2 linked regions of the Notamacropus eugenii genome follow. The protein of the gene in region 2 purifies or fractionates together with the protein of the main gene of each other region. This does not show direct contact. Links are inferred from orthologs where the notes say so. Each region holds a gene or a part of one and is shown on either strand. Other genes may lie near its edges.

The links.
Region 1: the proteins of MPHOSPH10 (region 2) and IMP4 purify together in Homo sapiens (affinity purification with mass spectrometry; 3 studies listed by BioGRID and IntAct, with this or other methods). This does not show direct contact. The link is inferred for Notamacropus eugenii from reciprocal best matches to the Homo sapiens genes MPHOSPH10 and IMP4.

Annotation. Positions count from the first base shown.
Region 1 is NC_092879.1:101,887,856-101,903,120, forward strand, and holds IMP4 (U3 small nucleolar ribonucleoprotein protein IMP4), read left to right. Parts: upstream 1-9,206; 5' UTR 9,207-9,363; coding exon 9,364-9,366; intron 9,367-9,551; coding exon 9,552-9,660; intron 9,661-9,753; coding exon 9,754-9,837; intron 9,838-9,927; coding exon 9,928-10,037; intron 10,038-10,127; coding exon 10,128-10,260; intron 10,261-10,381; coding exon 10,382-10,536; intron 10,537-10,679; coding exon 10,680-10,774; intron 10,775-10,863; coding exon 10,864-10,937; intron 10,938-11,073; coding exon 11,074-11,183; 3' UTR 11,184-12,346; downstream 12,347-15,265. Other genes in the region: tyrosine-protein phosphatase non-receptor type 18-like, read right to left, coding at 12,847-12,914, 13,009-13,116, 13,249-13,276, 13,361-13,629, 14,336-14,477. UniProt on the Homo sapiens protein: Component of the 60-80S U3 small nucleolar ribonucleoprotein (U3 snoRNP). Required for the early cleavages during pre-18S ribosomal RNA processing. Part of the small subunit (SSU) processome, first precursor of the small eukaryotic ribosomal subunit.
Region 2 is NC_092872.1:150,959,937-150,975,667, forward strand, and holds the start of MPHOSPH10 (U3 small nucleolar ribonucleoprotein protein MPP10), read right to left. Parts: upstream 5,836-15,731; 5' UTR 5,725-5,835; coding exon 5,627-5,724; intron 2,257-5,626; coding exon 1,599-2,256; intron 225-1,598; coding exon 70-224; intron 1-69. Other genes in the region: MCEE (methylmalonyl-CoA epimerase, mitochondrial), read left to right, coding at 6,298-6,352. UniProt on the Homo sapiens protein: Component of the 60-80S U3 small nucleolar ribonucleoprotein (U3 snoRNP). Required for the early cleavages during pre-18S ribosomal RNA processing. Part of the small subunit (SSU) processome, first precursor of the small eukaryotic ribosomal subunit.

The sequences.
Region 1 (15,265 bases), on a different chromosome or scaffold from region 2:
TAGATAGAGATACATAGATCAGTTATAGAGAAGAGGGAAATTTTTAACCCCTGAATAAATAGGGAAAAAAAGTGGTATGAGACTAAAGAGATGGATTTTTGCCAAATTAAGGAGTTTTTCATAATGCAAAGCAGAGCAGCCCAAAGCTAAACGGAAGAATCATCTTTTTTTTTTTTTAATAATGTTCTCCCCCTCCCTCCCCAAGACAGTGTGTAATTTGATATAGGCTCTACATATACATTAACATTGAACTTATTTTCACATTAGTCATATTGTAAAGAATTAGAGCCAATAGGAGAAACCATGAGAAAGAAAAAACAAACCCCAAAAGGCCCAAAAGAGTAAACAGTCTGGTTCGCTCCGCGTTCAGACATGGGTCTTTTACTGGATCATCATGAGTTCTCTGGAGTTGTCTTGGATCCTTGCATTAGTAAGAGCTAAGTCTATCAAAGTCAGTCCTCACACACTGTGGCTGTTGCTGTGTACGATGTTCTCCTGGTTCTGTTCCCTTTACTCAGCATCGGTTCATGTAAGTCATGCTCATCATTTCTTACAGCACAATGGTGTTCCATGACATTCATACACCACAACTTGTTCAGCCATTCCCCAATGGATGGGCATCCCCTTGATTTCCAGTTCTTGGCCACCACAAAGAGAGCTGCTATAAATATTTTTGTATCTGTGGGACCCTTTTCCTATTTTTATGATCTCTTTGGGATACAGCCCTAGAAGTGGTATTGCTGGGTCAAAGGGCAGGCACAATTTTATAGTGTATTATAGTGTGTTTGCTTAGAATTCAGTTCCTTAATCACCTCCAAAGCCATCACGTTGCCCTGATCTCTCCATCTTGTTCACAAGGAGAGCCTGAGAGCCTGGCCAGTTCTCTACTGAAATCTAGGAAGGCGCTGTTGACAGCTTTCCCAGGCCAACTGCAGCAGCAATGATGACAATCACTGTGACTGATGCAGTTTATTCAAGTTAATACATGTATTTCCATGTGTTACATGCTTTACCTATGTTTTTGAGTTAATCATGTGTAAGACACATCAGAACAGGCTCCAGTGGGGCAGTAGGGCCCTGGACAGAGGGAGCCCTGCATGAGTTGGGGAACCAAGTGGAAAATAAGGATTTACCCCATGCGTTGTAGGGGCATTTCAGGCAGAGAGGGCTGGTAAGTAACTGGCAGGATAAAGGCACCTTTAGTCCTCAGCCTCTCTCGAGATGCCAAAAAGTGAGGCTGGGAAAGCTCAGGTTTGCCAAGGCACAGAAAAGTTCCACCCACATCAGCAGACAGAGAGACTGAGGGCTTAAAGAACAGGCAATTGAGGAGAGAATGCTCAAGTGCTTAGGGCGGGCACCCCAGGTCTAAATGAACAAGGGCAAGGCTTGAGGGCCTGGGGCCAAGGAGGCAGGGCTTCAGGGAGAATGCAGGGCTTTGGGCCCCTTGAGGAGGTTGAAGGTCACAGCATAGTGTCTTCACCATCCAGGGAAGGACTGAAGGCACAGACCCCACCTAGTGCAAGTGAAAGTGAGGGTAGAGGTTGGTGACACCCAAGGTCAGGGAAAGGAGCCCAGTGGCTAGATGACTTGTCTACACCTGACTGAGCTCCGAGCACAACCCCTTCTTCTCCTTTTTTCTCCCCTGCCCCAGGGTTTGGCTAGCTCCAAGCTTTCCCTTTCTGTCACTTTGTCTAGTCTCCCTCACCCCCACCCTAGTTTCCTGAGAAAAGAAAGAGGGTCTTGATAGCCCCTGTGACCAAACTTCCAGTCAGTCACACTGCCTCAATCCCATGAGGTTATCTACCTTGTTCGGTTCTTTGTGCTCCCCAGAACCAAGATAACGGGACCTGTTCCTTTGCTTGGGCTGTTTGGCATAAATGGAGGCAAATCTGTGATCCTTTATTGACAGGCAGTATGTACCTGTTAATAAAAGGTTATCTCGCTTGGAGAATTGCCTCAGTTTATCCTTTTGTTAAATTTCAATTGTGACAGAAGGAAGACTGAGGAAGGGGACACAAACATTGTTTCTTTGACAGTATTCAAGGGCTGCTGATTAAGCCCTTCAGGGCCAGGGTATCAATGATGGATGGACTCCATCCTCAGAGACCATATAGTCCATTGAGTGAGAACAAATTAGACAAATAGGTGGGATGCAAGGTCAGAGGTAACGAGATCAGATGGGAAAAGCTGAGGACCGGGAGCTTAGCCTCATTTCAGTGATGTCACACAAGGCCTGGCTGGGGCTGGAGAGGAAGCTCTTTCTAGCCACAGGGGAGAAGGTTTGGGAATGCAGAGGCTGCCATGAGTAAGGTGTGCTTTCAAGGTCAAGCCAGCAGTGCAGTAGGCTCCAGTTCTCAGGGATCTTGAAGGGAATGCGCTTCAAAGGCTAGAGCCATGAGGTGGACGGCAGCGGGGTCCTTGCCCAAAGGACAGCACAGTTGGAGCCCAGTTCCTGTGATTCCAGAGTGTGTTCAGCAGGCAGGTGGAACCACAAGGTGAAAGGCCAGGTAGGGGGCAAGAGGTAGGAGCAAGAGATGACTTGGCTTACCAAAGGTAGGTGTTGAGAGAGAAAAGAGAATAACTTAGCATACAAACTGTGGGGTGGGAAGTAGGAGGAGAGCCAAGAAAAGGCAGAGAAAGATGTGATCACTGGCAGAGAAAGAACAAGGCCTGAAGAAAGGTAATTTGATCCCAGGCTTCGAGGAGAGAGGCCTCAGATCCAGGACAAGAGAGGTCAGCTTGCATCCCTGCTCATACCACACACCTGGGCAGCTGTTCAGTTCTGGGCTTCAGAGTTTCTGAAAGAACTTCATAAGCTGTCAAGCTCTAGAGGGTGAAGGGTCATAGGAGATTCAAATAGGGAAACTGAGCCCTTGTAGTCTGAAGAGGGAAAATGGCATGAGTCACATGGAGTGCGCATGATGTTTGACTTAGGAACAGCATGGGCAGATGTACAGAAAAGCTGCTGGAGGAGCTGAGCTTGCCATGTGAGGAACGTCCCCCCAGGAGGTGTTGTACGGAGGATCCTTGCCCTTGTCCATCCCAGAGGACCAGCCCCAATGACCCTCAAGATGTGAGAAACTTGTCTTTTGAAGATCAGATTAAATGACACAACATTGGAATCTCAGTATTCCCAGAGTCCAAGCCCAAGCCATTGTCTGCCATGCAATGGTAGTGCTCCGGGAGTAAAAGATAAGAAGCTGGAGGGAGAGGGGAGGACAAGCTGGGATCCCAGGGCAGGAAGTAGAGCCCCAAGCCCCTCGGCTGAGGCACAAATCTTGCCAATATAAAGGTGCAGACATCAGGGGCTATCTTTTGAGAATGACCATAGATAGTAGAGGCATTGAAGGCCTAGGGGCCACAAAATTGGCATTGTACCAAGGACAAGGAAGCACAGTCTGCTTGAAGGGCACTCTGCCTCAGCCACTTGACCAACCCAACTTTCTCCCAGATAACCTCCCAGATCATGTGGATTTGCATCCTGACTTTGTCCCTTCTGGCCTCAGTTTCTTCATTTGTGACAGGCAGGCATTGGGGAGCATGATCTCCAGCCTAATATCCTGACTGTTTCTGGGCTCTTACCATATTCCAATCTTGGTCAGGTGGGAGCAGGGGGGGACTGACCAAGGAGGTGAGTCCGAATGTTGCTCCTGAAGCAGGCCCAGAATGAGGGCTGATTCCCATGAATCAAGAAATCATTGTTCTACAACCAGTGTGGAAGGGCATTGTGGGAGCCCAGAGAGAAAGCATCAAGGACTGGCTGTAACCATTAAAGCCCAAGTATTCAACATATATTCCTTTCTTCTCCCAAACTGCCCTTAGGGCACCATGTTTGAGGCATTCTGAGCTCCTTTTCAGCCATTGTCACAAATGGGGCCACAAAGAGTCAGGATTCATCGGCATTGCCAGCATCCCCCATCAGATGGTGAGCACCCAGAGGGCGGGGCCCTTAGCAGGCTAATTAATCAGTGTGGCCTTAATCAGCTCAGGCCAGAGCCATTTGAACTGGGGCTTCCTGAGGTCAGGCCCAGTTCCCAGTGGCCTGGAGTGCTCCAAATGCCCTAGGGAGGCAAGGATGGGGGGGACCAGAAGGAAGGGAGGAGGGCAGAAGGGAGGGAGGGAGCCAGGGAGCCAGGACGTCCTGTCACTACTAGTCCAGCAGGGGGCGCTGCCGAGCCTGGGCCCGGGCCTGTACTGTTCTTTCACTGCGGCACCAGCAGGAGGCGGTGCGGAACCTGCCGCCTACACGAGCCAGATTACTCGAGTCTTTATGTATCTTCTATATGCTGCTCAGGATCGTTATATTTCCCATATGGTCTAGCGGTTAGGATTCTTGGTTTTCACCCAGGCGGCCCGGGTTCGACTCCCGGTGTGGGAAGTGTATGTTTCCAGTTTTGCTGTTGGGGTTGGGGGGGTGGGGCCGTGCTTTTGGAGGTGGGGCTCCACTTTCCTGAAAGGTCTACGTGCCTTCACCTCCTCCTTCCGCGCTGTCAACGTTTCTGAAAGCCGGCCCCGGCCCTGGGCCTGCTTTTTCCACTCTTTCACAACAACCAGGGCAGGAGGTTGAGAGCAACGCTGGCCCATTTTACAGATGAGAATGTTCCAACGAGGTCGGCTTGACTGCAATGTTTTATGGCCTTGGACACGTCTTAGGCAGCTTGCTTCAATTCCCAGCATGAGCCTGGGGTGGCCTTCTTTTCCTGCCACCCCTTCTTTTCTCCCGACCCCAGTCCGGACACGCGTTCTGCCTCAGTTACCCTTCCTCCAAGAAGGGATTCTCTGGGTTTCACCTGCCCCTCTTTTTCACCTGGACCCAAGCTCTACTGCGCCGCCAGTGAAGCCTCAAAGTGGGGTCCGCCCCGGGTCCTCCCAGGGGGGCTTGGATGCCTCCGAAAATAAAAAAGTCTAAAGCATCTTTCCCATACCGGGAGTCGAACCCGGGCCGCCTGGGTGAAAACCAGGAATCCTAACCGCTAGACCATATGGGAAGGTGGTGTGTTATGTCGGGTTGTGTATGTAGTGTTTTCTATAGTGCTGTGATTCACAACTCCCCCTACAGGTTCTTGGGTGTACTGTCACGTAGCTCCAAGGCCTGCGTCCACTGTTTCTTCAGCCTTCCCAACCCGAGCTTGAGGTCACTGAGGCCAGGCCCGGCCATGCGGTGATCCGGCGCCCAGTCGGGCCTTCGCGGGGCGCACCCAATGACAGCATTCCAGTCTCTTTCGAGCTGGGGCTCATCACTCCACTGCCCGACTCAGGGACACTAAAATAAGAAAGAAGCACCTACTATGCGCTAAGCGCTTTGCAAATATGATCTCATTGGACCCTCGCAACCCCGGGAGGCAGGTGCTACAGTATTCTCATTTTACAGAAGGGAAAATTTAGGCAAATGCACTTGCCCAGAGTGGCAGTTGGAATCGAAGTCTTCCTGTGTGCTGTGGTGTCCTCCGCATCTCATGGGAGGAGACATTGGTGTGATAAAGACCTGGGTGCGAATCCCTCTTTAGAATTGTCCTAACTCACTGACAGCTTTGAGACCTGGTTTAGCCCATCTGATGAGTATACCGTGATATGGCTGCAGCTTCTTGGTGCCACAGGTGAGTGGGGGGAACACCGCAGGTGAACAGCTCTGAAAACAGGTCAGCAAGTCCTGACATCACAGGCACTGGTCCCCCTGAAACACCGCATCGCACCCCCACCCCCTACAACCTTGTCAGCAACTTCTCCTCCTTTGTGATTCCCATGATACAAGCTTGTCAGCCAACACAAGTGTTGGCACCTTCCCCCTTCCTTCCTCTCCAAGGACTTCCAACTTCATACTAGGGAACACAAAACACACCAGCTACCCAACCCCCTCTCCCCCATGACCTAGGCTTGCTATCCATGAACTCCACAATACTTTCATTTTTTCAACCTTCTTAGTTACCTCATGTGGACTCCTCCCCAAACCATTTTGAACCCTCAAGACCTGAGAAAGGCCTAAAACCCCCAGGTTTACCAATCAAGAGAGACATTTTGGCCCACTCTGAGTTTAACCTACCATAATGCTTTGTGTTCTCTGGCATAACAGACATGCTTTGTTTTGCTCTCAGGGCAAACCCAAAATGCCCCTTCCTGTGTTAGCAACTCCAAGGCCAAATGAAGCCAAGCAAGTGCCTCCTCCTGTTTATGACAACCACAGTCCAAGTACTTTGAACCAGACAGCATCTTGAATAATGGGACTTTTTTTATCTTGGTTTTTTACGGACATATTATATTACATCATGATGATAAAAGGAACAGACATCCTGGATCCATAATTTCTTTTTTTTTTTTTATTTTGTAATGTTTAACAATCACTGCCATACAATTGCAATTTCATCCCTCCCCACCTACTCCCCACTACCCCCCTCCCTCCCCACGACTGCATACAATTCTGTATAGATTCTACATATACTTTCCTATTGAGTATATTTTCACTATAGTCATGCTATGTAGTCAGACTAAGATAAATGAAAGAAATCGTATAACAAATCAGAACATGATACACAAACACATACACATACACAAACATGATCTGCTACAATATGTGAGTGACTTCCATATTTCTCCCTCTGAGTGTGGCAGGCATTTTGCCTTGAGATCCTCCATTGGGATTTTTTTTTTTTGTAAGAAGTTCTTGTGTTATTACAAAAATCTAAGTCTACCAGAAAAAACTCTCACACACTGTGGTCGTTGCTGTGCATAAAGTTCTCCTGGTTCTGCTCCTTTCACTCAGCATCAGGTCATATAAGTCCTTCCAGGCCTCTCTGAAGTCTTCTTGTTCATCATTTCTTATGGCACAATAGTACTCCATTACATTCATATACCATAATTTATTCAGCCATTCCCCAATTGATGGACATCCCCTTGACTTCCAGTTTTTGGCAACTACATAGAGTGCTGCTATAAATATTTTTGTACATGTGGGACCCTTTCCCATTTTTATGATCTCTTGGGGATATAGTCCTAGTAGCGATATTGCTGGGTCAAAGGGTATGCACATTTTTGTAGCCCTTTGGGCATAGTCTGGATCCATAATTTCAATTGATATTTTGACATTCTCCTATCATGTTGCATTTACAATCTATCCACTTAAGAAATTCCTTTCTCATATTATGGTTAACACATATGGATACTATAATTTGGGCTGGCACCAGCATCCTGAGTCAGGAAGGCAGGGAGGAATGAGTGAAGGAGTTAATGGAAATTGCTCTGAAGATAGGCAAGGTCCCTTTTGTCTGCCCACCTTTGGATTTGTTGTCTACAATGAATTCCCATTTGTATCTCTATATGTACATTCCACAAGCTTTCAGATAAGTAAACACACCCACAGCTTAATTTTCTTTATGTCTTTTTAGAAAGAACTCAATAATGACCAACACTAGGTATCCTCAGCCTCAAAGTTAATGGTCACCAAATCAAGTTTTGTTCAATGAATTCCTTTGTCTGCTGGAAAAACTCTTACAAGAGTTTAAGCTCATTCCTTCAAGCCCCACAAGCTGACTCCCTGTTCCAGCCCATATTTATTCAAACAGTAAACAGCTGAGGTGCATCTGCAGGTTGCCCTGGAGCTTGGCCAAGGCCACTATGGAACAAGGAAGGCCAGTCCCAGCCAGCCTCACTTGGTTGGGATAAGCTCTAGAGATTAGGCTGACAATGGTTGTCTGTCCCAGAAGCCAAGAGAATCAAACACAGAAGGGCACACAGATAAGAGTGAAGGGGTTTTTGAGCGGTAGAAGACAAGGGAGAACTTTGGACCTTTCTTTCTATAATACTACATTTTACTTAAGAATTTTCTCCTTAGCAAAACCAGGAGAACATTGTACACAGTAACAACCACAATGTGCGAGGAGTTTTTCTGGTAGAGTTAGCTCTCCACAGCAATGCAACAACTGAAATAATTTCCAATGGACTCAAGGCAAAATACCTCCCACATCCAGAGAATAAACTATGGAATTGGAACAAAGAACAAAGCAGACCATTTTCTCTTATGTTTTGTTTTGCTTTTTCTCATGGTTTCTCCCATTCATTCTAATTCTTCCATGCAACATGACTAAGGTGAGTATGTATTTACTAAGAATGTATGTGTAGAACCCATATAAGATTGCACACCATCTTGGGGAGGGAGTGGGAAAGGAGGAGAGGAAGGAGGTGGAAGTAAGGGGAAGAAAATCTAAGATTTATAGAAGTGATTGTAGAAAACTGAAAACAAACTAATAAAAATAAGTACCATGCCATGAGGAAAAATAAAAAGAATTCTCTCCTCAAGTGGCAATATCAAAAGGTGCATCAGCTGGTTTGTGGGGAGGGGATACTTTGGTATTTAGGTCAGAAAGTCATTTGGGGCTTACAGGATGCAAATCCCACTAGTCTGAGCCCAACTGCTGCCAGCATTTTCTAGTTCTCCCTACACTTTTCGTAGAAGTTGGGGGATCTTTGCCCCCCTCCTCTTGGTGTTTTGTGGCTTAACAAACAGCGGAATGTGCCTGTTCTGTCAGGGGTCTTGGTCTACCAATCTATTGTTCACGTTCCTGACAAATGGTTTTCCTAGCTTTGTGGCAGGCAAACTTTAGCACCCCTTTGGTGATCCCTTCCTCCAGCCACCTCCACCCACTGTGTGATTTTGCCTGGTTCTGTAACAGTGCTGGCATTTTTTTTCTTTTTAAATGTCAGGAAAAGGGGACTGAGCTTGGTAGCCTCCATACCTCCCAAACGAGGTAGGAAGAGGCCAGGGTAAGGAAGAGCCAAGGGCTGGAAGCAATTGGCAGCATGAAATAAAGACTAAAACATGGATTTGGACGCCGCACATTAGAGAGCGTATCCAAGCCACCTTCCGCTGATCAAGCAGCTTCTGTTTGTTACGCTGAAGGACTTGAATCTGGGATCTTCCCGACGGGACTCGGCCCTGGAGCCCAGCAACCTCAGCAGCCATCAGCAGAGCTGCGGAGATCTTGAAGGGAAAGAAGGGTTCCACCGGCTGCCCGCCCCTTCCTCTGCAGCCAGCCAATCAGCGTGCACCCGTCAGCCACCTCGCGAAGAGCGCCATCTTCAATGAGGGCGTGGGAATCCAGCCTGCGGCCCGGGCGGAGCAGAGCGGAAGCTGGCGCCGGGGGCGGGCCGAGGCTAGGTGAAGGGGACCGGAACTCACTGGCTCTCGCGAGGCCTTCCCTCCTGGGGCCCCGCCTCCCTCCGGTCCGCCAAGACTGCGGGGATTGGTCCGCCAGCACTCGGCCTGACCACGCTCCCTGCCTGTGAAGGGAGGGTGGGGTTGCGCAAGCGCGCTGAGCTTCGGGCACCACACGAGGAGATTTTCGTAACGGGAATCGGAGGTCGCCTGCAGGCATGGTCCGAGCTGGGGATCGGTGGGGTGGGTGGGGAGCCGGCGGCACCTGGGGTGGGAGGGCGCCCCTGGGCCGGAGAGCCCCTGGCTGAGGGTTGGAGGGATAGACTGGGGAGGCGGCGGGACTGAGGGAGGGGGAAGTGCCTCGCTGGGGCTTAGCGATGCCCCCCTCCCCACAATCCCTTGGCAGCTTCGACGCGAGGCCCGCCTGCGCCGGGAGTATTTGTACCGCAGAGTGCAGGAGAAGAAGCAGCATGTTCTGCAGGAAAAGAAACTGAGGCTCCAGAAAGCCCTGGAAGGTAGGGCCAGGCCACGGGCCCACCGACCTGCAGCCCTTCCCCCGCCTGTCTTTCTTTTCTTGTCTTCTCACTGGCTCTTCCCTTTTCCTCCAGACGATCAGCCGATCCCGACGGAGGTGCGAAGGGAGGCCCTGACTCTCCACAGGGCATTGGAGTTTGATGGCGCTGGAGGGGAAGGTGAGAGAAGTCTCCAGGGGTGGGGCCGCCTTCTCATAGGATCTCCAAGAAGCTGTCATTGATCGCTTCTGTTTCTTCCTCCTCCCAAAGGTGTCTTGAGTCACCAAGACGACGAATACCGATGGGCAGGTGTAGAAGACCCTAGAATCATGATCACCACATCTCGAGACCCCAGCTCCCGGCTCAAGATGTTTGTCAAGGTGAGCAAGTGACGGTAGATATCAGGGAAATGTGATGATGAGATCCATCCCAATGCCTTACTTCTTGTCCTTTCTGATCCTTTCACCCAGGAGCTGAAGCTGATATTCCCTGGTGCTACCAGAATGAACCGGGGTCGACATGAAATGGGTGCCCTTGTCCATGCTTGTAAAGCCAATGGAGTCACAGATCTGCTGCTGGTGCATGAGCACCGAGGGACACCAGGTAAGCACAGGGGATGGGCCCAAGTGGCCAATGGAGGATCAGGAGAGGGAAGCTGTTTCAGGGAGTTTTTTTGCTCCCTCAATATATTCCATACTTAGCACATCTTTGTCTTTCCCAACAGTTGGCCTCATTGTGAGCCACTTGCCCTTTGGGCCTACTGCATATTTCACACTGTGTAATGTGGTGATGCGCCATGACATTCCTGACCTTGGTACAGCTTCAGAGGCTCTTCCCCACCTTATCTTCCATGGTTTCTCTTCCCACCTTGGACAGCGAGTAAGTCCTGGGGCTAGAGAACTATCACCTCAACAGACAGTTGATAATCAAGGGGATGGTCTCTGGCAACACAAAAGGGGAGAAGAGAAAGCGCACTGTTTTCCTCATCAGGACCCTTACTCTAGCATGTTATCCTTCCCCAGGTCTCAAATATCCTCCGATACCTTTTCCCAGTACCCAAGGATGATAGCCACCGAGTCATTACCTTTGCTAACCAGGATGACTACATTTCTTTTCGGTAAATCTGGGCTTGTCTCTGGAGGTCAGAAAGGTAGGTAGCTATGTCCCCAAGGGCCAAAGTTATCTATATCCCTTCTGTCCTTCTAGGCATCATGTGTACCGGAAGCCAGATCACAACACAGTGGAGCTGACAGAAGTTGGGCCCAGATTTGAGATGAAATGTGAGTACAAAGAATACTGGGGAAAACAGACCAGGGAACTGAGCATGTGGGTCCAAATTTGAAACAGCCAAAGTCAGGAAAGATTAAGCCTGACTCAGCCTGAGACCCAAGCACATTCCTCTCTCTGGTTTTGCAGTGTACATGATCCGCCTAGGCACACTAGAGCATGAAGCCACAGCAGATGTGGAGTGGCGCTGGCACCCATATACTCACACAGCCCGAAAGAGGACCTTCCTCAGCATCTAGGAAAGGATTTCTAAAAAGGAGTACCAGAGCATGCACTGGACCACAGCCCATGACAAAACCTGAGGAAACCTGCCTTACCTGGGGAGAAGCCAACTCTTGCTGTTGTTAAAGTTCCCCATCTTCTGCACCTGTCATTTCTGGGACCTCATACTCATGGCTTTTGGATTTCCTGTAGTGGGCACTGAAAACTTCTCCGGGTGGGGACACAGGAAGGGCTCTCTAAATGGAGAACAGAAGCCAGTGGACACTGGGAGCCCCAAGGAGCCATTTTCTTGGTCACAAGCTCAGGGCCAGATGAAAACAATGGCTTTGCCCTCCGCACAGGAACCTAAGACTATGGAGCCATTACTCTGGGTCAAGGCTCAATCTTGGACAGCTGGGGTCTGAGTTCAGGATCTCAGCCTCATACAGCCTAGGAGAGGAGTTAGTGAAGGGTTGCCTGGTGTGGGGAGGGGTGTTCATTTTTATTTTTTTAGTATAGCCTTTTAGACTAGCCCACATCCATAGGTAAATCCCCCCTGAACCTCCCTAATGAGGGTCGTTGCTCTTGACTTTCCAAGGCAGCCTGTTCCAGTTAGAGACTTTTTACCCTTCAAAAAGATTTTCTCCCATTAAACCTAAACTTCTGCTCTTTCAGCGTTCCCAGTTCAGCTCTTCAAGGCCAGGCAGGACAAATCCAGTTCTTTTGTGGCATTTCTTCTCCAAGTTAAACATTCTCATTTCCTTCAGCCTCCTGGGAAGTTAACTTGAGGCCTTCTCCAGCCTGCTTGCTTCCTGCGCACCCTTTCCACTTTATAAAACTCACTATTTAAAAAACCAGGCTTACAACTCAATGTAGTATTCTAGCTGTACCTTCACAAGGCCAGAGGGCTCTGCAGTCAATGAGCTCCTGGAAGCTCAGCTTTCTTGTACATCCCAACATGGAGTACTTATGTAGACTTTGTGGTACACTAAGACCCTTTCATCTTCTTTCAGACAAACTGCTTATCTAAAGCTGTTTTTTCCATTTTGTACTTGGGGCAGAGATATTTCTTTAACCTAAGTAAGAGATTACACTTATTTTTCTCGAATTTCCTCTTTATATTCTGTCCAGTACTGAAGCTTGTCAAGATATCTTGGGCCATTGTCAGTGTAACCTGCTAATTTAATGAGCATGCCCTCTATTTTTTTTTGTCTGGGTCATATATAAACATGTTAGCTAGCCATTGGCCAAAGCACAGACACCAGAAAATTCTTGTGAATCAAATGCTCAGAGCTATTGGATTGGGAGGGGGGATGGTAGTTGGGACAGGCTCAGGGCCTAGGCAGGAACAGGAGAAATCAGCCCCTGCCAGGGCCACCCACAAAACTACATCTCAGAGGTCAGGCCAGAGTATGGTGGGAGGATGGGCATATGTCTACTCTACAAGGTCACCGCCGAGGCACAAGCTCTAGATAGTTGCTTAGTAGGGCGCAAGTCCAAGATCCATTGGCATGGGCATTCATGTATACGTAGGCCCGGGACCCAAAAGCACTGAAAAGGCTACAAGGACAGACACCTCATTCAGGATGGGGAAAACTTTATTGTGAAAAGGGAACTCAAATTTGGTTTCCCACTTGCCACCCTCTGTTTGCTTTAATGGGCCTGGGCTCCAGGCACAAAGGCAGGACTCTCACAGGCTTCCTACATTCGAGTCCACTCAGCTGGAGGATCCCGGGGACCTTTTGGTTTCCCAATTCGAATGTTGAAGCCTATGGGAAGAAGGAAGGGTTGAGATCTGAGGAAGGTGTGGGAGGGTGGGAGAGATGGCAAAGGAAAAGGTATGTGATCTATGGGTCAACTCACCAAGAGTGGTGCTGGGCTGGAGGCTGCTGGGACCCAAGCCTGGACCTGAAATGTCTGTTACATCCTCATAGGCCTCAGGCCCAGGGCAGTGCCTGGAGGGGGTGCTAGCTGTTGGCAAGATCCAATGGAAGCCCAGTTCAAAGCTTTGAGGTGCCTGGGGAACTGCCCACTCCCCAGCCCCTAAAAGGCCTCAACTGGTCTTCACCTCCAGCCAACTCCAAATTACTGTCCCATACTTACCTTTCCTTGCAGTGCTGGGTGCGACAACCTAGGGAAAAGGAAGGCAGGTATTTGGAGGGGGCCTGGTGGGGCCCTGCTCAGCATGGCCCTGCTCCCCAGCTTTGCCACTTACCAGGGACAGCAAGGGCCTCCCAGAACCTGCTGAGGAGCATGCGGGACTTTCCAAGGCTGCTGAGCTGGGGAAGGCCACCGGAGTGTATTCTGTGGGGGTCCCAGCCCCACCCCTAAGGGCCCTGGGTTTGACAGTGCTATACACAGCCGCTTCGAGCTCTGCCTCTGCAGGCTCACAGGTTGCTGCAGGGCCTGGAGCGTGGCTTCGCTTCTGTACCGAGGCATACGTTGCAGCCATGACTTGGTTGGCACTGAGAACCTGAAAGAAAACTAAGAATGGGGAGCTGAAAGCACCCTCTTCTGTCCTCTGCCACCTGGGTGGAAAGGCAGGTAAAGGACCCTGACCCCTAGGAGGAATCAGTGCCAAGAGGCAGGCGGAAAGTTCTTCCCTTGTCTCCTAAAGCCAGCAGCAGCATGGACCACCAACCCCGCATTGAGAGGTCAGATGGCATGTAGCCAGCTCTCCTTTAAGAGAGGGAAAGGATGCCAGTGAGAAGGGAAGGCACATGTCCAATGCCAAGCTGGCACCTGAATGCAGGCTTTGTCCTCATCCTACTGTCTCAAGAATTGGGGGGGAGAGTCAGGGAAACAGGACCTTCCCACCTCAAACCAAGTGTAACTGAAAGGGTTCAGAAAACTAGGAAGTTGGGCCTCCATTGTACCCAGGGGCTCTAGGGTTGGGGTGATAGAAGATGAAGCCCCCCTCTCCTGTACCTACCAAGGGACCCTAGAAATGGGGGAGGGCAGGGCAGTAGTTTAGAGACATCTCTGCAGAGCCAGGCCTGGGGGCTAAGCACTGAAGGAAATGGGGCCTCCCTCTAACTCAGATCTAGCTGCAACCTTCAGGAGGAAGAGAAAGTGTCGGGTGCCATGGGGGGCAGGGAGGACAGGGATTGGTGGGTAGAAAGAGGTACTAAGTTACCCCACCCATCACAAACTGAAACAGAACAGGATAGCTGGGGAAGGGGAGCTGTACCTGGTAACCCCGAGAAGCTGCCAGGGAAGGAAAGACAAGGCTGGGAGGGAGAGTGAGACTCCTGGGCCCCAAAGCTTCGTCTCAGGAAGTGATGCCTAGCCAAGCCCAGCCCAGGCTGTGACGTGACCCGAGCCTCCAACATTCCTGCCTCAGCTTGAGCAGCTTCTCCACAGATGGCAGAGATGCTCAAAGGAGGAGGAGGCAGTTCAAGGCAGTCAGGGGGACAGAGGAAGGCCTGGCCTGGGAAAGCTGGAGAGCTTTCGGGACACAACTACCTGGGAGCAGCACTCCCATTTGGGGCCTCTGGGGGAGAGGAAGCCAGGAGCCAAGAGCAGGGCAGGGGCTGGAACAAGAAAATTTCAGCGGCCCTATGGTCCTGGCTGAGGGCAGTACCAGTGTACTCCAGAGGAGAAGGTGGGGAGGTGGAGGAAGGAAAGGGACAAACCTTTATTCTGAGCCTATTACGTGCCTAGCACTTTACAAGCATCTTCCCAAAGCACGGTGGCCAAGACCTAGAACATGGGCCTGGTCCAGTCAGATCCTGGAGCTGAAGTCCTTTCCCCCACCCCCATGAATTCATGGACCCAGATCAGGTTTCCCACCAGATTTGCAGGAGTCTTTCCCTCTTAGCCTAAAGCTTGACCACTAAGGATCTCCACCTGTTGGTAATCTCCACCTCCCACCCTGAGCTCTCGAACTAGGGGGACCTGAGCAGCAGCCATAAATGTCCAAATGTCCAAATGCAGGTGGGGAACCTGCAGCCTTGAGGCCACATGTGGCCCTCTAAGTCCTCAAGGGCGGCCCTCTGCCTGAATCCAAACTTCACAAATTCTGTGAATTTGGCCCCTGGTCCAATCCATGGGGCCCAAAATGGCCAGCTCATTGTGTAATTTCTCATGGGAGGTTTTGTTCCTTATTTTGTAAAGTTAT
Region 2 (15,731 bases):
TAAAACCAGACAAAAACTGATGGGCAAATTACATGACACAACTTAAAAAGGATGACTCAAAATGCTCACTCTTCAGAAATGTCTTCCTCTTCTTCATGATCCATTTCCTTATCCTCATCTTCAACCTCATCCTGACCCAGTCCATCATTATCACTTGCTGTGTCTTCACTTTCAACTGGGTCAAAGAAATCTTTGTATTTTAGGTTTCTGGAACTTTTTTCTGACTAAAATAAAACATTTAAATCTTCTGCTTAAGGAGAGAAAATAACTTTAAAAATAAGTTTTTTAAAAGTACTTTCTACATGCTGAAAATTATTTTCCAATGAAAGTTATTAACTGAAATTAGCATTTAAGAGTAAAAGAAAAATATAGCCTATAAGATCTGCACACAGATCATTCATTGATTTTTAGGCATAAAAAAATATTTAAATTTGGCAAAAGAGAATAAAGAATTCTACATCTCTTAATTTAACAAAGGTCAATTGATAAGCACTTACTGGGTAGACATTAGGAATACAGAAACGGAAATTAAACAGTCTCTGGTCTCAAGGAGCATATAATCTATTAAGGAAACAAAATGTATATATGTGTGTGTATACATATGCTACGCATATGTACATACAAAAGAAATAGAAGATCGTGTTCAGGGAGGGGAAATACACCAGCAGCAGAGAGCACAGGTTTCATGTAGAAGATCTAAGTTTTGAAAGGAACCAAGGATCCTAACAGGCAGAGGTGAAGAGGTAGTGAACTCTAAGAGGGGACAGTGTGTTGTATCATAAATGAGAAAACAGCAAGGCCAGTTTGTCTGGACTGTAGAAGGTAAGAAGGGGAATATAAAAGGAGACCCCCGATGTGGATCCAGGTTGTGAAAGGTCTCAAAAGCCACACAAAGGAGTCTGTAGTTGATTTTAAGTGTAATGAGGAGCCCTTCAGCTTACAGAGCAGAGGAGTGATATGGTCAGACCTGTGCTTTAAGAAAATCCCTTTGGCAGCAAGTAGCGGATGGAATGGTAGGGAAAGACTTGAAGCAGAGAAATCACTACAATAGTAGAGACAAGAAGCAACAAGGCCCTGAACGAGGAGGGAGCTTTATGGGTTGGATCCAAGAGATGTTAATGCAGACTTGACGAGTCTTGGTGACTGACTGGATTATGTCGGATAAAAGCGGCTGAGAAGTAAAGGATGACTCCAAGGTCTCCAACCTGGGTGACTGGAAGGGAAGTGATGTTCCGGACAGGTACTGCAAAGTGTGAAAGGACTAGGTTTATGGGAAAATATGAGAACAAATATTAAGCAAACCCATGTCAAGACTAAAAGAAATATTAAATGTACTTTAAAATTATTAAATGCTATAGGCCCTAACCTTTCTATTTTGGTTGGTTGAGGTTTTATGGGAATAAGATGAAGTAGGATGAGAAAGTGATGAGTTTGGTGAAAATTTTTGGGTCATTTTTATTTGCTTTAACATATCTGAATTATTCATTTGAGTCCTAATGAACTGTGAGAAAGGAAGTCCTTTTTATATTAAAGATACTTTAAATATCCACAAAAGGAAAAGGACAAAACTTAATCACTAGACAAAAGAAAAACTTTACCTTTTTTGGAGAGTCTGTAAATAGGTCACCATCCTCATCAGAAATAATTTCCTCAAAATAATTAACATCATCTTCATCATCTTCCTTTTTTTCTTTCTTCTCTTTTTCCATATCTTCCAAAAAGGACTCCATTTCAGATAATTTGAAAAATTTATCATCTACTATGGATTTCTCTTTTGACTTAATAAATACTTTTGGCTTCTTGTTTTGACGTTCGAGTTTATCAATGTCAAAGTCAAGGTCAGAATCCTCATCGTTAAAATCTGAACGTTCCTCCATATCAACTTTATTTAACTTTTTCTTTCTCTTACTGTCTTTTTCAAGACCATCATGAACTAGATCTGACTTTTGCTCCAGCTTCGAATCCTGTTCTATTTCCTCCTCACTGTCAATGTCTATCTCTGAGTCAACCTCTTCACTCTCTGGGAGAAGACGGAGTTCCTTGTCTTTAACATTGGCAATAACAGCTTTCTTAAAGTACTGTAAAACTGGTTTATTCTGCAATTCCAGCTGCTGCCAAATCTGCTCATCATCAAAGTTTTCTATCACCAATTCTTCTAAAGGGCTCCCAAGAGTTGCATCGGCCTTGAATGATTTATGTAAATCAAAAAGGGCTTTTGTTAAAGATATAAAATTTACAGCCAATCCATCTTGAACACTATGAAGGGAAGAAAACGTCAATAAATTTAAAATAATACCTTCAACATTTTTATAGTCACATTTTTAGGCTTTATTTAGTATTTTATTTTTCCCATTTTTAAAACTTTGAGTTCAAAATTCTCTCCCTTCCTTCATCCCCAGCCCCCTTCATTGAGAAGGCAGGCAATTCAACATAAGTTATACATGTATAGTCACACAAAACATATCCATTAATAGTCACGTTGTGAAAGAAAACACAGACAAAAAAAAAAACTAAGAAAAATTAAGTTAAAAAAAGGATGCTTCAATCTGTATTCAGATATCATCAGTTCTTTCTTTGGGTGATGGAATCCTAATAAAGCTGCCACCAGCCCCAATATCTAACTTCTTTATGGGCCCATTGAACAGCAAGCATGTCCTAATTTAACCACACAATCTGACTTTAACCATACTATACGGCCCCCAGACTCAATATAGATACTGCCCCTAACTAGCTACCACCCCCAGATCCAATTCACATATTTGAACAGGTGTGTTCTTGATCTCAAGCATAATCACATCATCCATTTAGCAGAGGAGAGGACCACAATACCTACCTATCTATCTTGACCAGACACAACCACAATAGCTAGCCAATAAAGGGCTGCAAGACCAGGATGTTTGACCACCAAACCATAGAAGAGATCCCTCCCCATTATCTAATCCCTTAACAAATCCCTCCTGACTTTTTAATGTTCATAATTTCTGTTGTGTAATTACATCTTTACCCTATTAAAAAAATCCATCTTGCTTTCACTGAAGTTGCTAGTTCTTCTTGGAACCCAGCCCGTTTCAAAAGGGGCGTCAATCCTCAATAAATGCCTATACTTAGATCAGAGGTGGTCTGACTCTGAATTCTTTGAGATAACACATCATGAAACCACAACAGTTTTTGGTGTCCCTGGGTGGGCAGAGCCCCAGCTTCCATCCCATGTCTGCAACACAGGGGTGGACAACATTTTTCATCACAAATCCTTCAGAGTTGACTGGGATAACTGTATTGCTGGGAATAGCTGTCATTCATAGCTGATCATCTTAATATATTGCTGTTACTTTGCACACAATATATTTCACTTTTTGTCAGCCCATGTAAGTCTTTCCAGATTTCTCTGAGAGTATCCTGCTCATCATTTCTTATAGGACAAGAATATTCCACACACCACAACTTGTTCAGTTATTCCCCATGGATGGGCTTCCCCTCAACTTCTAACTCTTCACCCACAGAAAAGAGCCGTATACTCATAATTTTTTTAAATGGATTAAACATAACCACATGCCCACTACATTTTCTGGAGTGGTAAAATTAAGAGAAATTTTGCTACTCAGTAACTTATTGTAAAAGTTTGTTGAGGGAGGATGTTAAAAAAAATCTACAATAAAACAAAGTTTGGAGAAAAGCAAAAGATTCAGTTATTCATGCCACACTTGCCTCTATTACCATTATCCCAATCAATCTGTTCAGGAACTTTCCTACTCCAATCCATCTTCTACTCAGCAATCAAAGTGATCTTTCTAAAGAGCAGAATTGACCAAGTCACCCCCTAAGTCAATAAACTCCAGTGAGTTTCTATTACCTTCAGGTAATAGAAAATCCTCTGGTTTTTAAAGCCCTTCATAACCTAGCTCCTTCTTACCTTTCCAGTCTTCTTACACCTGACTTCCTTCCATGAACTTTATGATCCAGTGACTATGCCTTACTTGTTCTTCCTCACACAAGACACTTCATACTCAATGCATTTTCCCTGGCTGCCTCCCATGCCTGCAAAGTTCTCTCTACCCATCTCTATTTCCTACATAGTTGTTTGTTGCATGTTGTCTCTTCTTAATCCCCACCCCCATTAGACTGAGTTCCTTGAGGGCAGCACAGTCTTTGTACTTCCATTGCTTAGCATAGTGCCTGGCATGTAAGTAGATGCCTAATAATCACTAGTTGTGGTCGTTGTGCACAGAACTGACTAAGCACTTATTGGGTGTTTGTATAACATGCAAAACATAAAATACTAAAACAGTGGTGGCTTATGAAAGGGGATCAATAATGTTCAGATTCTGTACACTGTAGAGATTACAACCCATCTAAGCCTTTTTATCCTTTGCAGTTCTTACATAGGTCATCCACTAAGTCTCCCAAAGATGGAGGATGCTTGCTTTAACAAAGTATAACAGGTCTCTTACCTTCCTTATAAAGGAGCTCAGATTCCCAGGACCTGAAGAACACTCAGGCATCCAGTCCCACCTCTACCTGAACAGAAAGCCTGTCTACAATATGACCAATGGGGACCTAGATTCCACTTGAACTTTCCTGGTGGTGGAGAGCTCACTACTTCATCCTACTTTGACCAGCTCTGATTTTTAAGGTTTCTCCCTTCACCTTCTACCTGCTGTTTCTGGTTTGGTTCTCTGGTGTCAAGTAAAATAAATTTAATCCCTGTTACACAAGGGCTGCAGCCAGCTGAGGTTGACTCATTGGATCTTCTCTAGACCAAACAGCCCTACTTGCTTCAGTTAATCCTTGGACGTCACATCTCAAGTCCCCTCTTAAGAACATGCTCCAGGACAGTGGAGGCTCTCCAAACTCCTAGCTATGGGACTGCCTCCTCAGGGAAGGGAAGGGTCTGTCCTGACAGTCACAGAAGGCAAGGATGGAAGTCGGAGAGCGTGCAGACCAAGGGAACCTTCTAATACATGACTCTTTGGGGAAGCCTACCCCACTCTTAGACAGTTCTATCAAGCAGATGTCCTCTCTTACAAGGAGTTCAAACGTGTCTTTCTGCCCCCAGGACCCATTACTCCAAGACCTACGGGAACCGAGCTATCTTCTGGTCTACAAGAAAGACCTTTACAAACATCTCCAATTGGGATGAGACCTTGAAAACTCTGCCATCATCTCGCATGGATATTTAGCAGGACTGGCCGATCCGGGTGGCCTCCCCCCGGGGACTCGTTATCTCAGAGACCCTCTCTGTCCCCGACCACGGCCATCCTCCCCGGCCGCCCCTCCCGCCCCTGTCCCTTCTCAGGGCAGCCTTTCCGGCCACTCCACGCCTTCCTCCCTCTGTGGACAGCGCATGGGTGCATTAACTGTGAGCTCCCGGAAAGCAGGGGCTGTCTTTCTGCCTTTCCTGGTCACGAGGGATCTGGTGGGGACCGTCTGGAGCCGTAAGGAGGCAGCGCTCCAAAAGTTACCTCCAAGCGGACTGCGACGCCGGGGTAACCAAGAGAAACCATCCTTCCCCCTCCCTTCACCCCGGATGAGCCCGTTGGGCAGGGGCGAGATCGAGAGCCGAGGCCTCGTGGCGTGGCCTCCTCCACGCCGCCTTCCGCCCGGAGCTCTCGCACCACGGGATGCTTACGTGAGGAACTGCTCCGGATGAGCCGTGTGAGTGTCCAGCTCCTTCAGGCAGCGATCCAGGATCCGCCGCCGCCGGCCCCGTAAACTTTTCTTCGACATCTCTGCCGGTCCAGATCTCACATGGAGCGGAAGAGGAAACTCCGGAAGCCGCTCGACTACGAAGCCGAGCCGGCCCAAGGGAACTTCCGACTGTGGGACGGTGGTTCCGCAACACACAAGTTCCTAGGCCCCGCCCTCCCGCTCTGACCCCAGTCCGCGGCCTATCGCCGCCGCGCCTGCGCGACAGGAAGGAGAGCCTGAGGGAAGTCATTGAGAAACGGTTCCTAACAGGGTCCACTACTGTTTATCAGGCTGGGTGGAGAGTCTGCTATTAGAAAAACCTATTACTAGTGCGGAATGGTCATCAGATTGATTTTGAACTCTGTTCTCTGCGAGGCTGTCAATAAAGTTGGAGTTGAAAGCCCTCGCCGGAGCTCGACCTATCACAGACAGCCGAGCCGGGCTCCTCGAAGTCACTCCACCCACCGCAGCAGCCGCACGCTCTCCTAAGGCACGCCCCTTTCCTCCTCCCCGGCTCCTCCTTCTCCTAAGACGCGCCACTCCGCCCAATCCCGAAGTCGCGCGCCAGCCACCTCCTCCTCCACGCACCCACCGAACCCACCCCCTCGGAAGATGGCGCATGTGCAGAAGGTGGTCCGGTGGGCGCTGTCCGCCGTGCGGCTTGCAGGTGGGACTTGTGGGACTTTGTGAGAGCCCCGGGCGGGCGGCGGTGGGCGGTGCGGGCCGAGGCTCAGGAGAGCTGCCTCCGCTTCTAGGAGGCCGGACGTAGAGGGCCCTCCGCAGACAGGGCGGGGGTGACGGGGAAGATTTAGAGCTGAAGAGACCGTTTTACCGGTGAGAAGACAGAGGCTTAAGGAGGTCAGGCAGGTAGTGAATGGTAAGAGGCTAAATTTGAACCCAGGACCTCGGGCTCCCTGTATGAAGCCAGCCCAGGGCAGCAGGGGCCCTGCGCCAACGCCCTCGAGCAAACCTGAACATTTTAAAGTCCTTTATCCGCGTTCAGCGATCGTGGATTGGACCGGGACTCTTTATTAAGGGGTGGGGGCGTTTGAGGACACACAGTCCTACTCCTGGTGCTTCCTGCCGGGCAGACACGCAGGGAAATGCCAGTTGTGCCAACCTGCCATCCCCAGAGGCAGTGGAGATTAAGTCATTTGGGGAAAGGTCATTTAAGAAGGCCTTCAGAAAACAAAACATAAACAGAGAAGGCATTCAAAGTGTGTTCTTTCACTCTAAATTGAATTTTTAAAACTGACTCTTTTTTTTTAAACTCCAATAAAATAAATGATCAGTTTTAGCTCATACTCCATAAAGTTGTAAAAGAAACAGATCCAAAGCTTCTAGAACATCTACGATGGTACCTAAAGATGGTGAACACGCTGCATTCACAGAAGTTAATAATAGTAACTTAACATTCATACACTGGTGTGTACCGGAGGGACAGTGAATAGAGCACCAGTGCAGGAGTCCGGAAGACCTGAGTTACACTCACTAGGTGTGTGACCTTGGGCAAGTCACTTAAGCCCAATTGCCTCATCCTGGGTCACCTCCAGTCATCCTGATGAGTATCTGGTCACTGGATTCAGATGGTTCTGGAGGAGAAGTGAGGCTGGTGACCTGCACAGCCGTCCCTCACTCAAAACAAAGTCAAGTGCAAGTCATGTCATTCTTTCTCTGATGGCATGGTCTTCTACTGCAACAAAGGACCAACACACTATGTACCAGGCACTATACTAAGTGCTTTACAATTATGTCATTTGATCCTCACAATTCTCAGAGGTAAAGCGCTGTATCATCCCCATTTTACAGATGAAGAAACTGAGGCAAATAGAGTTAAATGACTTGCCCAGGATCATACTGCTAATATGTGTCTGAGGCCACATTTGAACTCAGGGAGAGGAGTCTTCCTGACTTCAGGCCTAGCAGATTATCCACTGCACTACCTAATTGCCCCACTGTGCTAAGCACTTGGGAAAGAAAGGCAAAAAACAGCCCCTGCTTTCAAGGAGCTCGCAGTCTAATAACTACTTCCTAACTTAAATTCTGCCTCTATGTCTTCCGCTTCCAAGGGGTTCTAACCACTTACTGCACAATTATTCTAACTAAAACATTTCTTCAAAGGCACCAAATTACTTTCTGAATAAAGGCCATGCTTAGCCTGGCACTCAAGGTTTGTGTATATTTGTGTGTAATTTGTTAAATAAACTAGAATTGTGGTAGTAGCTGGCATACAATAACAAAAACAAACCAATAGTCCTCAAGTAGCTTACACTAGAAAGAAAGCAACATGTGGGTGTATGTTATACACAAATAAAGCAGACTCAAGGCAACCTTGAATCGAAAGGTATTAGCTGTTAGAGGGAGCAGAATACAGAATGTAGTGCTTATGATAAGTCGAAGGAAACTGGTGATACCAGCAGGCAAGTATGAGGGAGAACGTGAGAGACAGTAACAGTAGAGGAAATCTCATGTGAATAACAGCACAGAAGCGGGTAAGGTTGGATTACATGGAGGGGAGTACTATGCACAGAGATTGGAGAGATAGAAAAGGGCCTGCTTGTACAACACTTTAAGTGCCCAGCAGGATTTAGATTTGATCCTAGAGGTAATAGACATGATTTGTTGAATGGAGGGCTATGTACTGTATATAAGATGGATTGGGGTGGGGAGAGAGACCATTTAGGGTATTATGTGAGTCCAGGGAAGAGGAAACAAATATCAAAACTTGGTCCTGAGTAGAGAGAAGGGGTCATTTTCAAGAGATGTAAGGATAAACATTCCAAAATTTAGCAATTGATTGAATGTGTGGGGCAAGGAAGAGTTAGGAGTCTAAGATGATACTCCAGTTATAAACCTGGGTCATTGGAAGAATGATAATATCCTCAACAGTAATAGGGAAGTTTGGGAAAGGGAGACGTATTTGGGGGAAAGGTAATGAACATAATTGATTTTGAAATGTCCTTGAGATATCCAATTCAAAGTGGGTAACAGGGCCATTAGTGATGTGGGACTAAAGCTCAAGAGACCATGGCTGAATCTCTAGCTCAATCTGAGAGTCACCTGCACAGAGATGATACTTGAACCCATGGGAGATGAAGATGTCACCAAGTGAGAGATTAAAGAGAGAAATCAATCAGAAGGCCCCTGGACCCAGCCTTGGGGTACACCCACAATTAGGGGTGTGACTAGGATGATGATCCAGTGAAAGAAAGTGAGGAGGGTTCAGACTGGAGGAGAACCAAGAGAGAAGAGTCTCACCGAAACCTAGACAGGAGAGAGTATCAAATGGTACAGGGAGAACAAGAAGACTGAAGACTGAGAAGGGGTCATCCAGTCTGGCCGTAAAGGATCATTGTAGCTTAAGGAGGATAATAAGCACAGAAGCCGTTTTGCAAAGGAATTGAAAAGCGTAAAAGGAACAGAGGTGGAGGCAGTAAGTGCAGACAGGCTTCTTCATTCTCCTTCAGCCAGATTTTACTCAAGCTGGACGTAACCCCATCTGAGCGTTTCCCTACTTCTCCACACTTTTGTTCACATTTACTCCCTAAATTGCCCTCCCCTGCCAGCTCCACACATTATTCCTACCCATCTTTCAGTATCTAGCTCAAATGGCTTAGCTCTCCCCAGTGAAGCAGCTCTTCCTCTGAATTCCCATTGAACTTCTCTATTAAACTGTATTTGGGTACATATAAGCTCTTTGTAGGAATTGTATTTTAGATGGTCTTTTTATACCTCACTGGCATGAAGGACAATGCTTTGGACATAACATTTAATAAGTATTTGAGGAATAAATGACTCTGCATTTCTTCTTTTTCCTTTCCTTTTTCCTTTTTCCTCTTCCAAACAGAGGAGCAACTGTTATTTTGACAGGAAAGTATTGAGCTGAAATGGAGACCTAAGCCAACCTAGGTAAGGCTGAGGTTGGCAGTCTTCAGAATTAGTCTTTAATCTTAATTCAGGCATTGGCATCCATAGGCACCGTGTGAGTTGATTTTCAGTAGTATAAGACCTACTGCCACAGTGTTAAGTAAAATTGCAAAGTATGTCTTGACTTCTTCCTTCTTTGAACCCTTTTCCTATCTTCTGCTTCTTTCTTCTCCAAATGCTCAGCGTCCTATTGCCACCATCTACGTAATGTCCCTGATCCCTTCCAGGTTTGCCCTCGTGCTCCAGAATTGCCCTGGTTTTTTTTACCTTGTTCATTCCCCTATTCTAATGAAAAATCCTAGCCTTGACTTATACTAATCACAGCCACTGGTTTGACTAACTTATGGTTCCAAGCATAGGACCTTTGTACTGTGGTATGAATGACAACCACTGGGTCCACTTCACCATGCTGCCTCTCATACACAAAACTGTCATAGAAGTTAGGATGTGATTAAGTGTGTGGCAAAGGTGAAATATCAATGCATAAGAATTTGGGAAAGGAAGGAATCATTTAGAATTGATTTAGTAACGTATGTATTAAAATGATGGGAAATCCAGTCTTGCGTGAACTAGATTTTTAGTACCACTTGTGGCTAGCATTAAATGACAAGGCAAGGCAACTGGGGAGATGCATGGAACTACCTAAGGCAGTATTATGAACAATTTTAGAAACTGCTAAGTTAAAAAAAAAAACTTTTACCAGCCTGTTTTCCCCATGAGCCATTTTTGTAGCCACTACAGATAAGACTGCACATTGTCCAATTCTCTTGCTGTGTGCTAGCTTATCATTTTGCTATTCCTTTGATATAGATATTAGTAGAGAAAGTTAGAGCTCATGCAGTCTTCCACAGAATAATGTGATGGAAAATATCAGCCTGATTGGATATGTCCACATATTTATAAGACTAACTTTAAAACCCCAACACACCAGGACTTCATCAGGCCATTCATTGTCCTTGGGAACTGGCTATGTTATATGGTCTCTACATGAAGATCATTATGATCCCCTTTTCGGTAATTCAGTAACTAAAGAACATAGAATGGAATTTAAGAAAGACTCCATTCTGTTTTAGTGCTTTTTAGCCTCAGAATTCCACTGTACAGGGGGCGGAGCCAAGATGGCGGAGTAGAAAGACACACATACACATAGCTCCGAACCCACAACCCACAGAACGGCTACAGGGGACCAACTCACGGTGAATTCTGCACCCAGAGGCCACGGAATATTGGAGCGAGGGAGATTTCTGTTCCGGAGAGACCTGCAAACCTCTCGCGGGGGGTCCTTCGCGCTGCGGACTGGGCGCCGGGACTGGGAGCAGAGGGCAGCCCTGCAGCGGCCGTGACACCATGAGGAAAAGATCCGAGCGGGCTACGGGGACGGGATCTCCAGCGGCCACGCGGGTCCCTCCACCCACAGAGGGACCTGCAAACCTCTCGCAAAAAGTCCGTCACGCTACAGACGCAGAACCCAGCCCAGACCTGCGGCGGCCGCGGCTCCGAGAGGTACAGAACCGAGCAGGCTTCAGGGACGGGATCTCCAGCGGCCGCACAAGCCCCTCCACCCACAGGTGACGGGGGTTGGTGAGAGAGTCTCTTTGGCGGGTCGAGAGGGGAGTGGGGTGCCCCCATATTTCAGGCCCCCCCGGGAGATAGAAGCTGAGAGGCGGCAGCAGACAGGGGCTCCCCAAGCGGGCAGGAGCCTGGATCCATTGTGGAAGGTCTGTGCATAAACCCCCTGAGGGAACTGAGCCTGAGAGGTGGCCCTGCCCCGACCTGACCACCTGAACTTAATTCTCACACTGAATAGCAGCCCTGCCCCCGCCAAAAGCCCTAAGGCGGGAAGCAGCATTTGAATCTCAGTCCCCAAATGCTGGCTGGGAGGACCAGGAGGCGAGGTGGGTGTGAGGAGAATATCCAGAGGTCAAGTCACTGGCTGGGGAGAATGCCCAGAAAAGGGAAAAGAAATAAAACTATTGAAGGCTACTTTCTGGGAGAACAGGCATTTCCTCCCTTCCTTTCTGATGAGGAAGAACAATGCTTACCATCAGGCAAAAACACAGAAATCAAGGATTCTGTGTCCCAGCCCACCCAATGGGCTCAGGCCATGGAAGAGCTCAAAAAGAATTTTGAAAATCAAGTTAGAGAGGTGGAGGAAAAACTGGGAAGAGAAATGAGAGGGATGAAAGAGAAGCATGAAAAGCAGATCAGCTCCCTGCTAAAGGAGAACCAAAAAAATGTTGAAGAAATTAACACCTTGAAAACTAGCCTAACTCAATTGGCAAAAGAGGTTCAAAAAGCCAATGAGGAGAAGAATGCTTTCAAAAGCAGAATTAGCCAAATGGAAAAGGAGATTCAAAAGCTCACTGAAGAAAATAGTTCTTTCAAAACTAGAATGGCACAGATGGATGCTAAGGACTTTATGAGAAAGACAGATATCACAGAACATAGCGAGAAGATTGGAAAAATGGAAGATAATGTGAAATATCTTATTGGAAAAACAACTGACCTGGAAAATAGATTCAGGAGAGACAATGTAAAAATTCTGGGACTACCTGAAAACCATGATCAAAAGAAGAGCCTAGACATCATCTTCCATGAAATTATCAAGGAAAACTGCCCTGAGATTCTAGAACCAGAGGGCAAAATAAATATTCAAGGAATCCACAGAACACCGCATGAAAGAGATCCAAAAAGAGAAACTCCTAGCAACATTGTGGCCAAATTCCAGAATTCCCAGGTGAAAGAGAAAATATTGCAAGCAGCTAGAAAGAAACAATTCAAGTATTGTGGAAATACAATCAGGATAACACAAGATCTAGCACCCTCTACATTAAGGGATCGAAGGGAATGGAATAGGATATTCCAGAAGTCAAAGGAACTAGGACTAAAACCAAGAATCACCTACCCAGCAAAACTGAATATAATACTTCAGGAGAAAAAATGGTCTTTCAATGAAATGGAGGATTTTCAGGTTTTCTTGATGAAAAGACCAGAGCTGAAAAGAAAATTTGGCTTTCAAACACAAGAATGAAGAGAACCATGAAAAGGTGAACAGCAAAGAGAAGTCATAAGGGACTTACTAAAGTTGAACTGTTTACATTCCTATGTGGAAAGACAATATTTGTAACTCTTGAAACATTTCAGTATCTGGGTACTGGGTGGGAGTACACACACACACATGCACACACGCACACATACATGGAGACAGAGTGCACAGAGTGAATTGAAGAGGATGGGATCATATCTTAAAAAAAAATGAAATCAAGCAGTGAGAGAGAAATATTGGGAGGAGAAAGGGTGAAATTGAATGGGGCAAATTATCTCTCATAAAAGAGGCAAGCAAAAGACTCATTAGTGGAGGGATAAAGAGGGGAGGTGAGAGAAAAACATGAAGTCTACTCTCATCACATTCCACTAAAGGAAAGAATAAAATGCACACTCATTTTGATATGAAAACCTATCTCACAATACAGGAGAGTGGGGGACAAGGGCAGAAGCAGGGTGGGGGGGAGGATAGAGGGGAGGCCATGGGGAGGAGAATGCAATCCGAGGTCGACACTCATGGGGAGGGAAAGGATCATAAGAGAATAGAAGTAATGGGGGACAGGATAGGATGGAGGGAAATATAGTTAGTCCTATACAACACAACTAGTATGGAAATCATTTGCAAAACTACACAGATTTGGCCTATATTGAATTGCTTGTCCTCCAAAGGGAAGGGGTGGAGAGGGAGGGAGCTAAAGAAGTTGGAACTCAAAGTGTTAGGATCAACCGTAATGTTCTTACCACTAGGAAATAAGAAATACAGGTTAAGGGGTAAAGAAAGCTATCTGGCCCTACAGGACAAAAGAGAAGACGGAGACAAGGGCAGAGAGGGAGGATAGAAGAGAGAGCAGATTGGTCACAGGGGCAATTAGAATGCTTGGGTTTGGGGGGGAGGGGATAAAAGGGGAGAAAATTTGTAACCCAAAATTTTGTGAAAATAAATGTTAAAAGTTAAATAAAAAAAAAAAAGAATTCCACTGTACAATGTTAATAAGAAAAAATAATATAACTCTGGGGCCCTTAAATTCCCTGCGACCCGAAATATTACCAGAATGCAGTCTTTTGCTTTTTTCAGTAGATAAGTAACACTGTATACTATCAAAGTGTTTTTCTTTAAGAGCCAGCAACAGATCAGTGTTGTCTAGTCTTTTCTCATGCTAAATGTTATTGTGCTTTAACATAAATTGAAGAAGTTTTATAGTCTAGATTGTTGTTATTGTTTTTGTATTCATCCTTGGTTTTTGAAGAGGACCATCAGCCAAATAATGACATGACTTGCACTTGACTTTGTTTTGAGTGAGGAAGGGCTGTGCAACTCACCAGCCTCATTTCTCCTCCAGAGCCATCTGAATCCAGTGACCAGATATTCATCAGGATGACAAGAGATGGCCCAGGATGCATTGGGAGACCTTGTCCTTTTTAGGCTGGCCTTTTCCTGTGCTCACTTAGGGGGAGGTAACACCCATTGAGTGGACAGAGCTCTTTGAGAAGTAGTCAGGGGATAGCCCTTTTAATGGGCCAAAGGAAAAAAAAATAACTAAATCAAAATGGGAGGGAAACAGAAATTGTTACTATTGATAAGCACTCAAGGCCCAGCCTAAAAAGACTAAGGTCTCCCATTGCATCCTGGGCCATCTTCAGTCATCTTGATGAATATCTAGTAATGGATTCAGATGGCTCAGGAGGAGAAGTGAGGCTGGTGATCTGCACAGCCCTCCCTCACTTAAAACAAAGTCAAGTGCAAGTCATTTCACTATTTCTCTGATGTCATGGTCTTCTTTGGAAATGAAGGAGGAACACAACCAGTGAGTAGATGGAGATGCCTGAGTAGGCACCCAGCTCATCATCTCCCTTCTGTCTCCCTCTCCTCTTCCTTTGGGGTTTACTGGCTAGAAATCCTTTCTTCCTTCCTTCCTCCCTCCTTCCCTCCTTCCCTCCCTCCCTCCCTCCCTCCCTTCTTTTCTTCCTTGTCATTCCCCAAACCTTAAACCCAGTACTCTCTAAAGCCCATAGGTTCAACAACAATAGGTCCCTTCCCAAACTCCACTTCATCTAGATTATACTTGAACCTTATACTACCGTAATTCTAATTTTAGATTGTTTTCTTTATGTGATGATGAACATTAAAAAGTTTTTTTTTAAAAGACTGATATTTAAAGAACAACAAATCTTAGTAACAAATAGCTTATGAAGTGTTTCAGAAACACACAGGGTATTGCATTTGAAGTGAGTGAACTGGATTTTGAATACCAACTCTGCCACTTAGGACCTACGTGATTTTTGGAATAGCATAGTCTTTCTGGACATCATTTTTTTTCACCTGAGGCATTTCATCCATGGGTAACTGATATATAAAGTCTCTTTCAGCTCTAAATCTGTCCTGAAAGCATGTTTTGATCATCACATGCATAACTCTCTCAAAGATAGTTGTTCAATTGTCCCACAGCTCCTGCACATTTCTATCTTTTATCCTTTAATAGGAAGGGTGGGAGTGGAACAAAAAAATAACTGCTACCTTACAGGAAGTTCTGATAAGTAGTTTTAGTGTTTCCTGTGATCTTCAGTTAAAATATTTTTCTCCTCAATTCACTATTTTTTCCATTGAATTCCATGTGAATGGAACATAGATTTGTTTGTTGGGTTGGGGGGTTTTTTGTATCGTTGAAGAGTATTCATTTTAATGAGCTTAACCATGGACTTTGCGAACCTTCACGCTTCTTGTTCTATACCTTATTACCTCTTGGTGAAATGTTGTATGCTTTAAGGATTGATGATTTTGTAGGTGTGTTCATTTGTAGGTGTTCATTCCATTCCCACTACCACTTGATGTTTTAATTCTATAAATTATATATCTTCCCTCCACCTATAGAGACTGAAGTACATCCACAATTTAGGAGATAGTCTACAGCGTTAGCCTGGCTGTCAAATTAATCACACTGCAGCTAACCTGGTAATTAGTGTTTCTGAATTTCACTGGGCTCCTTCTAGGACAACAGATATACCATCACTGAACAATACTGAAAACCTTTCCAGTTTGCTATGACTAGGCAGTGTTAGGACTTGGCCATAGTTAC